Anolis sagrei: one gene and its partner. The protein of the gene in region 2 binds, or shares a complex with, the protein of the main gene of each other region. Links are inferred from orthologs where the notes say so. Each region holds a gene or a part of one and is shown on either strand. Other genes may lie near its edges.

Evidence for each region. The genes of interacting proteins can lie anywhere in the genome.
Region 1: the proteins of NMUR2 (region 2) and NMU are in contact, whole or in part, in a cryo-EM structure (PDB 7XK8), measured with the Homo sapiens proteins. The link is inferred for Anolis sagrei from reciprocal best matches to the Homo sapiens genes NMUR2 and NMU. Residues at the interface, in NP_064552.3 of Homo sapiens: Ser42, His43, Gly98, Glu102, Glu105, Met106, Trp107, Arg108, Asn109, Tyr110, Pro111, Thr123, Phe126, Glu127, Asn181, His185, Pro199, Ser201, Thr203, Cys204, Val206, Tyr213, Phe284, Arg288, Phe291, Glu295, Trp297, Ser298, Glu299, Ala302; in NP_006672.1 of Homo sapiens: Glu146, Phe152, Ala153, Ser154, Gln155, Gly158, Tyr159, Phe160, Leu161, Phe162, Arg163, Pro164, Arg165, Asn166.

The regions. Positions count from the first base shown.
Region 1 is NC_090025.1:73,560,731-73,567,652, reverse strand, and holds the start of NMU (neuromedin-U), read right to left. Parts: upstream 3,082-6,922; 5' UTR 2,952-3,081; coding exon 2,789-2,951; intron 1-2,788.
Region 2 is NC_090022.1:83,702,507-83,710,150, reverse strand, and holds the start of NMUR2 (neuromedin-U receptor 2), read right to left. Parts: upstream 3,062-7,644; 5' UTR 2,849-3,061; coding exon 2,129-2,848; intron 1-2,128. UniProt on the Homo sapiens protein: Receptor for the neuromedin-U and neuromedin-S neuropeptides.

The DNA.
Region 1 (6,922 bases), on a different chromosome or scaffold from region 2:
TGTGAAAACAAAATCTGTTCCTGGTTTGAAAGTGTTATTTCCTGTTTAAATGGGCAGTACTTATTTTGAAAATAATAGTTCTACTTCAGAAACTTTGTTTTTGTGGCTGCCACAAATTAGGTCAAATTGGTTGAAACTTAAAAATATATTCCTTGAAAAACATAGCAAAAATGTGCTGCAGGAGGTCCGTCTAAAACAAAATATGGGCAGTTTAATAAACTTGCCCCATGTTTTTATGATAGAACCAATTAGGAAACGACATTTATAACCCAGGAACAAAACTGGTGTTGCACAGTGTTATTGGGTTGATTGAGAGTTCTGGATTTTGTTTAATAGTTTCAGTTGTTAGGTTGGATATCTCTTTTGGTTGTTAGAGGTATCAGGCTCGATCTACTCTGCTCTATACCCCAGGTTCTGATCCCAGATTATCTGATTTGAACTGAATTCTATGAGTCTGCACTGCCAAATAATATAATCTGGGATAAGCAGATAATCTGGGATCAGATCCTGGGATATAGGGCAGTGTAGATCCACCCTCTGATCTTACAAGCAGTTTTGTAGTATTATATAGATCATATCATAATTAACAATAATCATATCGTAATTAAAAATAATCACATCATAACTAAAATAATTATAATTAAATATAATTATATATAGAGGGAGGGGGTGAGAGAGCAGCTCATTGGAAGGAAGGATATTAGAGGCAAAGATGAAGTATTTTGGCCACATCATGAGAAGACAGGAAAGCTTAGAGAATACAATTATGCTGGGGAAAATGGAAGGAAAAAGGAAGAGGGGCTGACCAAGGGCACGATGAATGGATGGATGGTACCCTTGAAGTGACTGGCTTGACCTTGAAGGAGCTGGGGGTGGTGATGGCCGACAGGGAGCTCTGGCGTGGGCTGGTCCATGAGGTCACGAAGAGTCGGAAGTGACTGAACGAATGAACAACAACTCTCTCTCTCTCTCTCTACACACCCACCCACACACACACACACATATATGTATCATATCATAATTTTTAATTATGATAATTTTTAATTATATATATATATAGAGAGAGAGAGAGAGAGAGAGAGATGATGTATTGTGATATGATCTAGGTCAGTGGTTCTCAATCTTCCTAATGCCATGACCACTTAATACATTTCCTCATCTTGTGGTGATCCCCAACCATAAAATTATTTTTGTTGCTACTTCATAACTGTAATTTTGCTACCATTATGAATCGTAATATAAATATCTGATATGCAGGATGTATTTTCATTCACTGGACCAAATTATGCACAAATACCCAATACAATCAAATTTAAAAAATGGTGGGGTTGGGGGGATTGATTTTGTCATTTGGGAGTTGTAGTTGCTGGGACTTATAGTTCACCTACAATCAAAGAGCATTCTGAACTCCATCAACAATGGAATAGAACCAAACTTGGCACACAGAACTCCCATGTTGTTGTTGTTGTTCATTCGTTCAGTCGTCTCCGACTCTTCATGACTTCATGGACCAGTCCACGCCAGAGCTCCCTGTCGGCCGTCACCACCCCCAGCTCCTTCAAGGTCCCATGACCAACAGAAAATACTGGAAGGTTTTGACAGGCATTGATCTTGAGTTTTGGAGTTGTAGTTCACCTACATCCAGAGAGCACGGTGGACTCAAACAATGATGGATCCAGACCAAACTTGGTATGAATACTCAAAGTTCCCAAATGTGAACACTGATGGAGTTTGGGGAAAATAGACCTTGACATTTGGGAGTTGTAGTTGCTGGGATTTATAGTTCACCTACAATCAAAGAGCATTCTGGACCCCACCAATGATAAAATTATGCCAAACTTCCCACACAGAGCCTCCATGACCAACAGAAAATACTGTGTTTTCTGATGGTCTTTGGTGACCCCTCTGACACCCCCTCACGACCTCTCCAGGGGTCCCGACCCCCAGGTTGAGAAACACTGATCTAGGTGATATTACAAACCTGCTTGTAGGATCTGAGGCTGGATCTACACTGCCCTATATTCCAGGATCTGATCCCAGATTACCTGTTTATCCCAGATTATCTGGCAGTGTAGACTCATAGAATTCAGTTCAAATCAGATAATCTGGAATCAGAACCTAGGATATAGGACAGTGTAGATCCAGCCTCAGATCTTACAAGCAGTTTTGTAGTATTATCTAAATTATATCCTAATTAAGAATAATCATATCATAATTAATATAATTATAACTAAGTATATATATATATATATATATATATATGAATTTTAATTATGATCTGATCTAGGTGATATTATCAAACTGCTTGTAGGATATGAGGCTGGATCTACACTGCCTTATATTCCAGGATCTGATCCCAGATTATCTGTTTATCCCAGATTATCTGGCAGTGTAGAATTCAGTTCAAATCAGATAATCTGGAATCAGAACTTGGGATATAGGGCAGTGCAGATCCAGCCTAATACCTCTAACAATAAAAAGAGATATCCAACCTAACAACTGAAACTATTAAACAAAAACTAGAACTCTCAAATCAGATAATCTGGAATCAGATTCTGGGATATAGGGCAGTGTAGATCCAGCCTGATACCTCTAACAACCAAAAGTGACATAAATATACATATACATACAAATGCATCCATATAGATCTCAGAAGCAAGCAAGCCCAGGAGAAAAGATAAGGAGGGACACTTGGAGGGAGGAGTAGATCTCTAGACAGAAGGAGCGCCTGAAAGAGGGAGAAAGGCGTGGGGTGGCGAAGGGAGGGGAGGGTGGGAAGAGCCCTTACCTTTGCAGGAGCTGACCCCAAAGGCGAGGAGGAAGAGGAGCAGCCCCCAAGGGGTGCCCGACCCGAGGGGCATCTTCCTGGGGCGGCAAAGGCTTCTCCCGCCCTCCTCCGAGGCTGCCAAGGAAGGCTGGGGTCGCCAACAAGCGCCCGCCCGGCTTTGCATGGTTCCTGGGCACCTCTCTGCCTTTGGCGCGCTTTTTGCCGCCGCTGCTTTCCTCCCGGCTTTGCAACTCCCAGCCAAACAGAGCGGACTTTTAAATCTCCCGGACAGGAGGAGGAGGAGGAAGAGGAGGGCAGAGCTTGGCTCAGAGTCACGCTCTGTCAGAAAGGCAACTGTCTAAACCTGGTCACGCACACACCCTCCAAAGAGTTCTCCTATTTCTCAAATTATTTAGTCACCAGCTCTAGCTAGCAGTTGGTAGGGAAAGGGACTAAACGGCTTTCCCCCATTTTTTTTACCACATATGAGGGTTTTTCACTTCTCCCAATCCCCTTCCTCAAAATATGAAGACTTCCACCTATCTCAACATCTGCCACCAGATGTGAGGGCTTGCATTTATCCCACCTACACCTACCAAATATGAAGGCTTCCACTTATCCCAACCCTTGCCAGCAAACAGGGCTTCTATTTATCCCAAACACAGCTATGAGGGATTCCGTTTCTCCCAACCAAGCTACCAGATGTGAAGGCTTCCATCTAACCCAACCAAGCTACCTCATGCGAGGGCTTCCATTTATCCCAAATACAGCTACCAAATATGAGGGCTTCCATTTCTCTAAACCAAGCTACCAAATGTGAAAGCTTCCATTCAACACAACCAAGCTACCTCATGTGAGGGCTTCCATTTATCCCACACACAGTTACCAAATATGAGGGCTTCCATTTATCCCAACCAAGCTACCAAATGTGAGGGCTTCCATTTGTCCCCAAATAGAGCTACCTCATGTGAGGGCTTCCGTTTATCCCAACCAAGCTATCAAATGGGAAGGCTTCCGTTTAACCCAACTACAGCTACCAAATATGAGGACCTCCATTTCTCCCACCCACAGCTACCAAATGGGAAGGCTTCCATTTAACCTAACCAAGCTACCTCATGTGAGGGTTTCCATTTCTCCAAACCAAGCAACAAAATGTGAAGGCTTCTATCTAACCCAACCAAGCTACCTCATGTGAGGGCTTCCATTTATCCCACACACAGTTACCAAATATGAAAGCTCCCATTTCTCCCAACCAAGCAACCAAGTGTGAGGGCTTCCATTTATCCCAACCAAGCAAACAAATGTGAAGGCTTTCATTTATCCCTACCAAGCTACCAAATGTGAAGGCTTCCATTTAACCAACCAAGCTATCTTGTGAGAGGGCTTCCATTTATTCCAAATACAGCTACCAAATATGAGGGCTTCCATTTCTCCCAACCAAGCAACCAAATGTGAAGGCTTCCATTTAACCCAACCAAGCTACCTCATATGCTGGCTTCCATTTATCCCAAATACAACTACCTCATGTGATGGCTTCAATTTATCCCAAATACACCTACAATATATGAGGGCTTCCATTTCTCCCAACCAAACTACCAAACGTGAGGGGTTCCATTTTATCACCCACAGCTACCAAATGTGAGGGCTTCCATTTATCCCACGCAAACTACCAAATGTGAGGGCTTCCATTTATTCCTCTAAGCCCTTGTGGTTCTGTGTGAGATTTTATTTATCTTCTTTTTCCACTGGGCACCCCACTCTTGATTCTGAACTGCCACCATAGACACCTTGTCTGAACTTGGCTTTCCAAGAGACCAAAGCATTTCATGCAAAAAGATGTATTTATCAGAAATCGAACATGAGATTAGATTTGTTTTTAATGCATCGAAATGACATATTTCCCTCTCATACACATCTCCTTGCTAAGTCTGACTCTGAGTCTTAGTTCTCTTCTATCTCAGATCCTAACTTATAATCATTCACATTCTGCATCCCACTAACTAATTTCTAATACTGACAGACCCAATTCTCACCAGACTAACAACCATATGCATCTTCACTTTTACAATCCCCTCAGAAAACCAGCTGATCACAAGTCCCAATAATCCATGCCTCACATGGAACATTCCATGCCTGACAGATCACCAAATTATTCCATCTACAACATGAATACACAACCATGTTTTACATTAATGCAGCAAACAAATGTAATAACAAAGAACTAATTCAGAAGATCACAGGGTTAACACCTGAGTCTGGAAGTTAACCATCCCCAAAACTGGATTGAAGGTTACAATATCATGAAAAGAGCTGTTGGTCCCATCAGTCTTTTGTGACTAGCACATGTAGTGTAGCAAGCATGGAACAAGGTGATGAATCCTCAGGTGGCAAAACAGACCTTGGTTCTTCAATACCTATTCAGTGCTCTACGAGAGAATGTGCACTAGAAAAAATGATTCTATTTCTCTTTCAGTTCAATTATGTGATAGTTTTCTGCTTGCAAGGAGATTCATTTCCCAGGGATGAACATTTTAAAAATGTCATTCTGATATGATCCAGGATTATTGCATCATTCAATGTTATGTGTAGACCAGACTTCCCAAGCAGAAGGTGGTAGAGATGCTCCAGGTGAGAAATTTCTTCCATTTCTATATTCATTTGCTTCAGAGATTTCCTCTTTCATCGTCCCTTATCAGCATATCCAATTGTAACAAATGCTAAGAGCTGCAGTCTAGCAACATGTGGAGGGACCCCATAGATCACCCCTGATTTACTGTATTCCTATTCATAAAGACTCCATCTGTGCGCACATTTCAGCCACCCCATCCCAGTTGTTCTCCAGGTTTGTTGGACTAGAGAGGTGGTTTCCAACCTTTGGTCATCCAGTTATTCTGTACTTCAACTCCCAGAAATCCCAGCCAGTTTACCAGCTGTTAGGAATTGTGGGAACTGAAGTCCAAAATACCCGGAGGTCCAAAGGTTGGGAACCACTGGACTAGAGCTTCCCTAAATTTGCAGTCACCTAAGGAGCTGTCTGGGGGTTTATGGAAATTGGTGTTCAAGACACATATGAAGAAGATCCTCAAAAAATCCGTTCCTGTTATGGATATAAAAATTCTGGTGTTGTATGCAAATACCTATATGTTTCTACAAGGGAGAACAGATTGGACATTAGGATTTTAATAGGGAAAAGACAGGAAGAAACACTGAAATCTCTTGCACAACTCTGCAGTCCTTCCTATAATTCTCTCTGGCCCATTTTATAGCTACTATTAAACTTTTTCTTTAAAAAAATCTTTTGATGTCACATCTAGTTTAGCCCTAAGCAAGTTGTGGGTGTAGGTTGCATTGAACATAGTGAGACATACTTCTAAAAATGGGCATAAGTTTGGGATTCATGAAAAGTGTCTTTGGGGAAGGTTTGCAAAGAGTAAGCATCCGAAATTACATGTAAAAAGTTATATATTCACACGCACACCCCAACATTGGATCCTAACTTATGAAAGGAAATGAAAAGCATCATAGTGAAAGATAGTTCCAGAGATCCCCATCAGTCATTACTAATCAGAGTAGACATCAAAGGCCTGGAGAAACAATTCTGAGCTAGTTGGACTCAGTATCAGTTTTACAGAATTAGCCCAAGTAAGGAAGTTGTTGTGAGCCCAAATTTTGGCAGTAACCAAGTCAGAGACTATGAGAGGCTACTGGTTTGCATTTTTATTAATGTACTTTTTATTTTAAAACTAATTTTAAAATTAATTTACTGTGTAATTACAATATGTATTATTTATATGTAACGGCATCCAATTGTGCCAGATGTAAGCCGCCCTGAGTCCGTCCCCCCCCCGGAGGGGGGGAGGGTTGAGAAGGGCAGGGTACAAATGTTTGAAATAAATAATAAACAATAAATTAATTAAGCAATGAACCAGAGAATTCCGAATCTAAAACATCAAAGATCCCCAAATCTGAAATTATCATGGCTCCTAAGCAATTGTAGCCTTAAAATCAATTTCCATTGAGAGGCAAGCATGCCACTAAGCCAGAGTGACAACATGAGATGGCAAAGTTGTAGATGTCAGGCCAAAATACTTACTTTAAGGCTTTGCATTCTATGTTTACCTGCTGAAAGATGTCAAATACAATGAATAGGAAAGG
Region 2 (7,644 bases):
AATATCTCAACCTCTCCTGGCTAGGGAGAATCTCGGTTATTAAAATGAGTGTGTTACCTAGGATGATCTTCCTATTCCAGACGTTACCGATCATTAAAAACAACACATGCTTCAAGAAATGGAACAAAGATATTCTGAGTTTCGTCTGGGATGGGAAGAAACCCAGGGTCAAATTTAAAACCCTTACTGATTCGAAAAGCAGAGGTGGTCTGGCAATGCCGGACCTATTGCTGTACTTTGAGGCATGCGCCTTATCCTGGACTGTGGCATGGGCTTCACTAGAGCCCAAGAGGATTCTTACTCTGGAAGGCTGGGATACGAGAAGGGGATGGCACGCATACCTTTGGTATGAGAAAGACAAAGTAGAAAGATCATTTAATAATCATTATATCAGATCAGCGCTCCTAAAGGTATGGAAAAAATATAAAAATTATTTTTATACGAAAACACCCATGTGGGTGTCGCCATCGGAGGCCTTCCACAAGAAAGAACTACCCAGAAACAAATGGTTGAACTATCACCAATTATTAAAGAAAGAACATAATCATTGGTGTCTCAAATCTATGGACGAGCTTAGGGAGTCGGAAGAGGAAGTAGGTTGGTTCCACTACTTACAAGCAAAAGAATGCTACAAGGAAGATTGTAAAAAAGGATTCAATGCGTCTGAAACTGTATGGGAAAAAGTAATGAAAAAAGAGAAAAAGGTGATTACGACATTATATAGATGCCTGCTCGAATGGAGTAATGAACAAGAATTGATAAAAGAAACTATGATCAAATGGGCGAAAGACTTGGGAAGATCTATAAGACTCAGAGAATGGGAGTTAGCCTGGAAAAAGACCAACAAATTTACTAAAGCTACTACCATCATAGAAAACTCCTACAAAATGTTCTACAGATGGCATTTAACACCAGCTTTGCTATCTAAGATCAATAAAAACCAGAACAATCTATGTTGGAAATGTAGGAGAGAGAAAGGAACTTACTATCACATGTTCTGGGACTGCAAGGAAATTCAAAAATTCTGGCAAGCTATCCATAAACACACACAAAAGATAATTAAAACAAGTCTAACAATGAAGCCGGAACACTATTTACTTAACATAACAGACCTCTGCTTGAACAAAAATGAGGAAAAAATATTCTTCTACCTTGCTTCGGGAGCCAGGATACTAATAGCCCAAAAGTGGAAAACCAAAGAAACCCCCACGGCCGACGAATGGATCAAAAAAATTATAGAATTCATGGATTTGGATAGACTTTCGTGCTTAATGAAAAATGAGAATAAGGAAACCATGACCAACTGGAACCAATGTAAGGAATACTTAAAGAACATTCAGAAATAATAGACTAACAATAATAAGGATAACTTATATAAATAACAGAAAATAGGGAATTTATCCCATGTTCCCTTTCGGAATTTAAACCAATAACCGTAAATTGACTTTCCTCATAATATACTACCCCTCTGTGACTCAAACGGAAGTGACCAGCAACACATCCCTCCTTAACCCCCTCCCTGACCCCCCTTTCCTTTCCCCCCACTACTACCCTCATGTCTTCTACCACACCTTTGGCCCAATATCTTAGTATTTCCAAGCTTTCCTTTTCTCAAGTATTGTTCCCCCTCTTTCGATGTTATAATTGAAAATTAATAAAGAATATTGAAACCCGAAGAAATATGCTAGAGTACAAACTAAATTTGTAATTGAGTCATAGTATAAACAGATTGAAAAAGCTGGTGCCTGGAATAATTTTCCAGTGGGTCTTATTCATATTTGGACTTGGAGGGATGTAGAAGCTAAGAAATGCACATAGTACACTAAATAAAAATTATGGAACATGAGTGAGGGGGGTGGGGTGGGAATGAAACATCAATTTAACATGTCAACACAATATAGATATAGATATAGATATATACACACACACACAGAGAGAGAGAGAGAGTTTTAGGAATTTTTGGATCTACTACTCTAGAATTCCTCAGACAGCATGACCACTGTTGGCTGGGGAATTCTGGGAAGTCTGTTTAAAAAAATGAAAACCTTTCTTTCCAAACTCTGATTGACATGATATAAAATGCCATGGATTATGAGAGAAAACTTCACATATTTTAGTCAGGACTCACTTTCAACCCCATCAGGCAGTACAGCACACTGATGACACTCATCGGCAGGACATAAAAGAGAAAAGATGTCAGCTGGATGATGCAGTTGTAGATCCACATGGGCTTGACCACAGCACATGTCTCAGAGGCTGGGACCTCTGTGTGGTTTGGAAAAAACTGCTGCACAATGCCGTGGGTGCTGGTGTTGGGGAGAGAGAAAAGGATGGACAGGAGCCATAGGGCAATAATGATCCTCAAAGCACGTCGCCTTGTGCTCTTCAGTTTGGCCCGGAAGGGATGAAGGATGGCAATATATCTCTCCACACTCACTGTTGTGACATTCAGAATGGAGGCAAAGCATACAGTCTCAAAGAGGGCTGTCTTAAAATAGCACCCAACTGGTCCAAACAAGAAGGGGTAGTTGCTCCACATTTCATAGATTTCCAAAGGCATTCCCAAGAGCAAGAGCAACAAGTCTGAAATAGCAAGACTGAAGAGATAGTAGTTAGTGGGAGTCTTCATGTTTCGGTGCTTAAGAATCACAAGGCACACTAAAAGGTTGCCGGACACTCCAACTATGAAAATCATAGCATAAACCCAAGACATAGGTAGGAAGACAGGGCTCCGTTTGGGTCCATATAAAAAGGCAAGATACTCCTCGGTGCTATTGAAGTATCTCCTTACAGGCTCTATTTCTTCTTCCCTTTGGTGAGGACACCGGGAGATGTTCATCCAATCCATTGTAGGTACTTGTATAGGTCCAATTTCACTTAGGTTGTCTGAGATGTGCTTGTTTCAGATTGCTCTCTATTCGAAACAGAAATAGGAGGGAGAGGGAGAGACAGGGAGAGGAGGAAGGAAAAAGAGGCAGGGGGAACAAAAGCCAGAGAATGTCCTTTCAGATTTGAAGCTTAAAAGCACTGAGAGAAGTGCGTGTGTGTCTGTTCATGTGTATGTCTGCCTTTGCTATTACAATCATCCCCCTAAAGAGTCCTTTCAACAGCAAGCTCCTCCTTTCACATATACTCATTGGCTAGCTACATGAATAAAATTATACGATGATTGAGCTGGTCTTGGCTACTTGCATCAGTGTTCTCAAGAGAGAGATATATACTGAGCAGTTGGTATAGGTGAGGAGAATGGAGACTTCTTTCCAAAACCTTTAATCTAAGATGTCTACAAAATTCTGATCCTTATTAGAGACTGAGAAACCAGGGATTGAGGTGATGCAGGCTGAGTTTAAAAGCTGAATCAAAAGTTATTCTAATATGATTTTTTTTCTTGCTGGAAGCCTGTGAGTACACATCACAAACAGTGCAAACAGCACACTGTTGAGTGCAGTGAGTGCAAACAGAACACTGCCTTGTGTTCTGTTTGCAAACTGCCTCTATGGGTTTGAATGTTGTGTATTGTACAGCAAACAAAAATAGCAATGGAATAGTTTTTTCTAATATGTATTACTTTGAACAGTAATACGTATTTTATATTGCTAGTTTTTTAATATTTGCAATACATGCATGAAAATGGAAATTCACTACAATACCACAGATCTGAAGAAGCAATCATCCTGTAAAAACAGGTGGTTTTTTAATAAAGCAAACTCAAATTGGAAATGAAAAACCTCACATTAAAATAGCACTTTTCCCAAATGCCAAGAATTGCTCTGGTATGTTGTGTCTGAATGGTTTAATGAATTATACATTTCATCATTTGCAATGCAATAAAGTATGACAGGGAGCCAGCATGATGCAGATCTTTGAGCATTGGACTACAGCTTTAGAGATCAGGGTCCAAATCCATACTCTGCCATGGAAACCTGTTGGGTGACCTTGGAAAAGTCAAACATTTTCAGCCCATAGGTGGACTCCTTCTGAACAAAACTCACTAAGAGAACTATATGAACTTAGACTCACCATACATCAGAAATGACTTGAAAGCACAAAACAAGTAACAAAAGGGGTAAAAAAAAGTTCCTATCAGTAAAACTCAGGTACCAAAGGAGAAATGGGATTGGAGGCAGCAATGTGTTTGATCTGCTATGTCCAGTCAAAACCTGACAGTTTTCCGTCTCTGCCTATGGAAAGTCCTCTTCTTGTAAAATAATAATAATAATAAGAAGAAGAATAAGAATAATAAGAATAACAATTTTTATTTATACCCCACCACCATCTCCCCAAAGGGGACTCAGGGCAGCTAACATGAGGCCAAGCCCAAAGGTACATTACAGCAAAATAAAATGCATAATGCGGACAACAAAAATACATCAGAATAAAATACATACAGTAGCAAAATAAAATTAATAAATCAAATTGACATAATGTAAAATCAAACACAATGGGCAAGCCAAATGGATGAGGTAAAATGATAAAACCCTGGATGAGGTAGAAATAGAAAAATGTGATTTAGAGGAGCCCAAAAAGGATGAACAGTGGGTTTAGGTTTTTAGTTTAGGATGGGGGAAAGTGCATCATAGGACAACACTGTAGATGGAACAAATGGTTACTCTCCAAAGGCATATTGGAAGAGCCAAGTTTTCAAATTTTTCTTGAAGGCTACTAAGGTGGGGTCTTGCCTCATCTCACCAGGTAGTGAGTTCCATAGTCGGGGGTCACAGTGGAGAAGGCTTTCTCCCTCGTTCCCACAAGTCTTGCCTGTGATAGAGGAAGGAGTGAAAGGAGGGCCTCACCAAAGGATCAGAGGGATCATGCAGGTTGGTGGTAGGAGATGCGGTCATGAAGGTACAAGGGTCCCAAACCGTTCAGGGCTTTATAGGTAATAACCTGCACCTTGACCGCTCCCTGTAATTTGCCCCAGTTATTAATCTGGCTGCTGAACGGTGGACCAATTGAAGTTTCCGGGCCATCTCCAAGGGAAGCCCCATGTAGAGTGCATTGCAATAGTCCAGTCTAGAGGTAACTAAGGAATGGACCACCATGGTCAAGTGTCATATGGTCTGCAGTTGATGGTGGTTGGTGATGGAAGGGTTAATGTGAGTATTAGTTCTAGAGGGTTTGGTGATCTGTAAGTGGGAGTTCATGGGTGAAAGCAATTAAGGGTGGAGGTAAGCAAGAGATGGGTTGCAGCTGGGTGTTTCTGGATATAAGGAACTAGCCTTGGGACTGATCTTTGGGAGAAAAAGTATCTGTTGTATTTTGGTGGTGGATGCTGTTCGTTTTTCCCCCAGGTCTGTTAGATTTTTCGGTATCCTGACCTGTCTCCTGTAACCTTGGAATCCTGGAACCTTGAACCTTTGGACTGGCTTTTGACTACGGTATAGACTCTTAATCCCTGGACTTTGTTTATTGAACTCTCGGCATTTGACAATTGGACTGGACCCTTTTGACTACAAAGTTATTTTTTCTATCAGTTTTTGTTTATTCTGTGGCTGCGTGCTATCTTTGTGTTTTATATTTTGGACTACAAAAACAGCCAGCAAGTAAGTGCTGTTTTAATTAAACTGTTTGTTAAAACTGGGAGTTCTGATTAATCTCTACCTAAACAAGGTAGAGCCCTAGCAACGTGACATCAAGTCAGACTTCATGAGGTATGGTCGCAGCTGGTGCACGAGTTTTAATTGTGTGAAGGCCCTCCCAGCCACCGCCGACACCTGCGCATCAAATGTCAGTGCTGAATCTAGGAGGACCCCCAAGCTGCGGACCTGTGTCTTCAGGGGGAGTGCAACCCCGTCAAGCGCAGGTTGCCATAGAATACCCCAGTCAGATGTACAACTGCCTGGAGGACCTCTGTCTTGTCAGGATTGATCTTCAGTCTATTCATCATCATCCAGATCATCACAGCAGTCAGGCACTGGTTCAGCACCTGAGGGGCTTCCTTGGATTCTGATGGAAAAGAGTAGTGGAGTTGGGTGTCATTTGCATAGAGATGGCCCCAAGCTCCAAAACTCTGGATGACCTCTCCCAGCGGTTTCATGTAGAAGTTAAAAAGCATGGGGGGGGGGGGGCAGAATGGAACCTTGTGGGACTCCACAGATCAATGGTCAGGGGTCTGAACAGGTGTCCCCCATCTTCACCAACTGAAAGAACCAGAGCCATGGCAAAACTGTGCCCCCAAGTCCCATCCCGGCGAGTTGTCCCAGAAGGATACCATGGTCGACGGTATCGAAAGCCGCTGAGATGTCTAAGAGAAACAGCAGGGTCACACTCCCCGAAAAACAGATCACGGTCCAGCTGAATTGCATAACCCTAGTGGATATTAATGTGGCCTAATAAAACCTGATAGTGTCTCATCCCTGCTCTGAGTAAAGCTTTCTTCTTGTAACATAATCAGTTCCTAGAGGCCAGCTGGAGACTTTGTCAGATAGTTGGCTGAATTAGCGATCTACTAGAGGAAGGAATTAGGGACTTTGGTGAAAAGTTGGTTGCTAGACTGGCACCTAGGGTTATGTAGGGTGCTGGGAAGAGAAGTGGAATGGGCCTTGGTGTGAGATCTGCAGAAATCTCTGCACACAAAGATGGGAGGCATGACAGACCCACCCATTGAAATGACTGGTTATTGACATAGCATGACAAACAATGTATGACAGTGGACCTTGATGTCTTACTGCTTTAATGAGTTGGGGAGGTTTTTACAATATCTTCGGCTTCAATAATTTCTTCTGTGCTAGGGAGGCTCCTCTGTTGGCTTGGGATCTGCAAATAGCTAATAACATGTAGTTCATGTTCACTTCATCAGATGTGTCTCCTTGTTATTTCTGAGTGGGTGTAATGAGGCTCAGAGTTGGCAGTATGTAGTATATTCTGAATTCAGTAAATCGTGGGTTTCAGTAAGTACACATGACAATTAGCAAACTTGTTTACTACAACCTTAAGTTCCACTCCAGCAAGACTAGTAACAGAGATCACAGTTGACAGGGTTTCATAGCCAAAATATTAAGAAACAATTTATTTTGTAAATTGGTTGAAATCAGAATGTTAGCTTTCTATACTTGTTTTTAAAATTGGAAATTATCTTATTGTTATAGCCTATGATACGATTCTTCCTACTGTCTTTGTGCAATTTTAATGTTTCATTCAATATACTGCCGCTAAGCAGATGTGTACCTACTGAATACTTGGTTGGGAATCCCAAAAAAGCCTCCAGATAAAAGCAAGGAATAATAAATGCATTTTGTACAGCTAAATTATGCAAGTGGCCTCTTGTGTTCTAGCTCACAGCTGGTTTCAAAGCATATTGTCTATTCCTAGTTTCAAAATTAGGATGAACAATTGGGAAAATTGTCAAGAGCTGAAATTACTGCTTATGGTTCATTTTATATGGACATTGATATAAAATAAATGTTGAGGGTTGCTAACACTCTAACTTCTGATTCAGTTAGATCATGAGCAAAATCATCAACATCAGCTTAGGCAATGTACAATACATTTTTCAGCATTGGTATAAAATAATGATGAAGGCAATGGCATGTATAATAGAAGTAAACAAACAGCATACATTTAGGACCTAATCATGTGATGGAGGGGGAAAGCGGAGGGAATTGACTTATTTCATTTCCTACCATTGAGGTCCCATGTCTTACA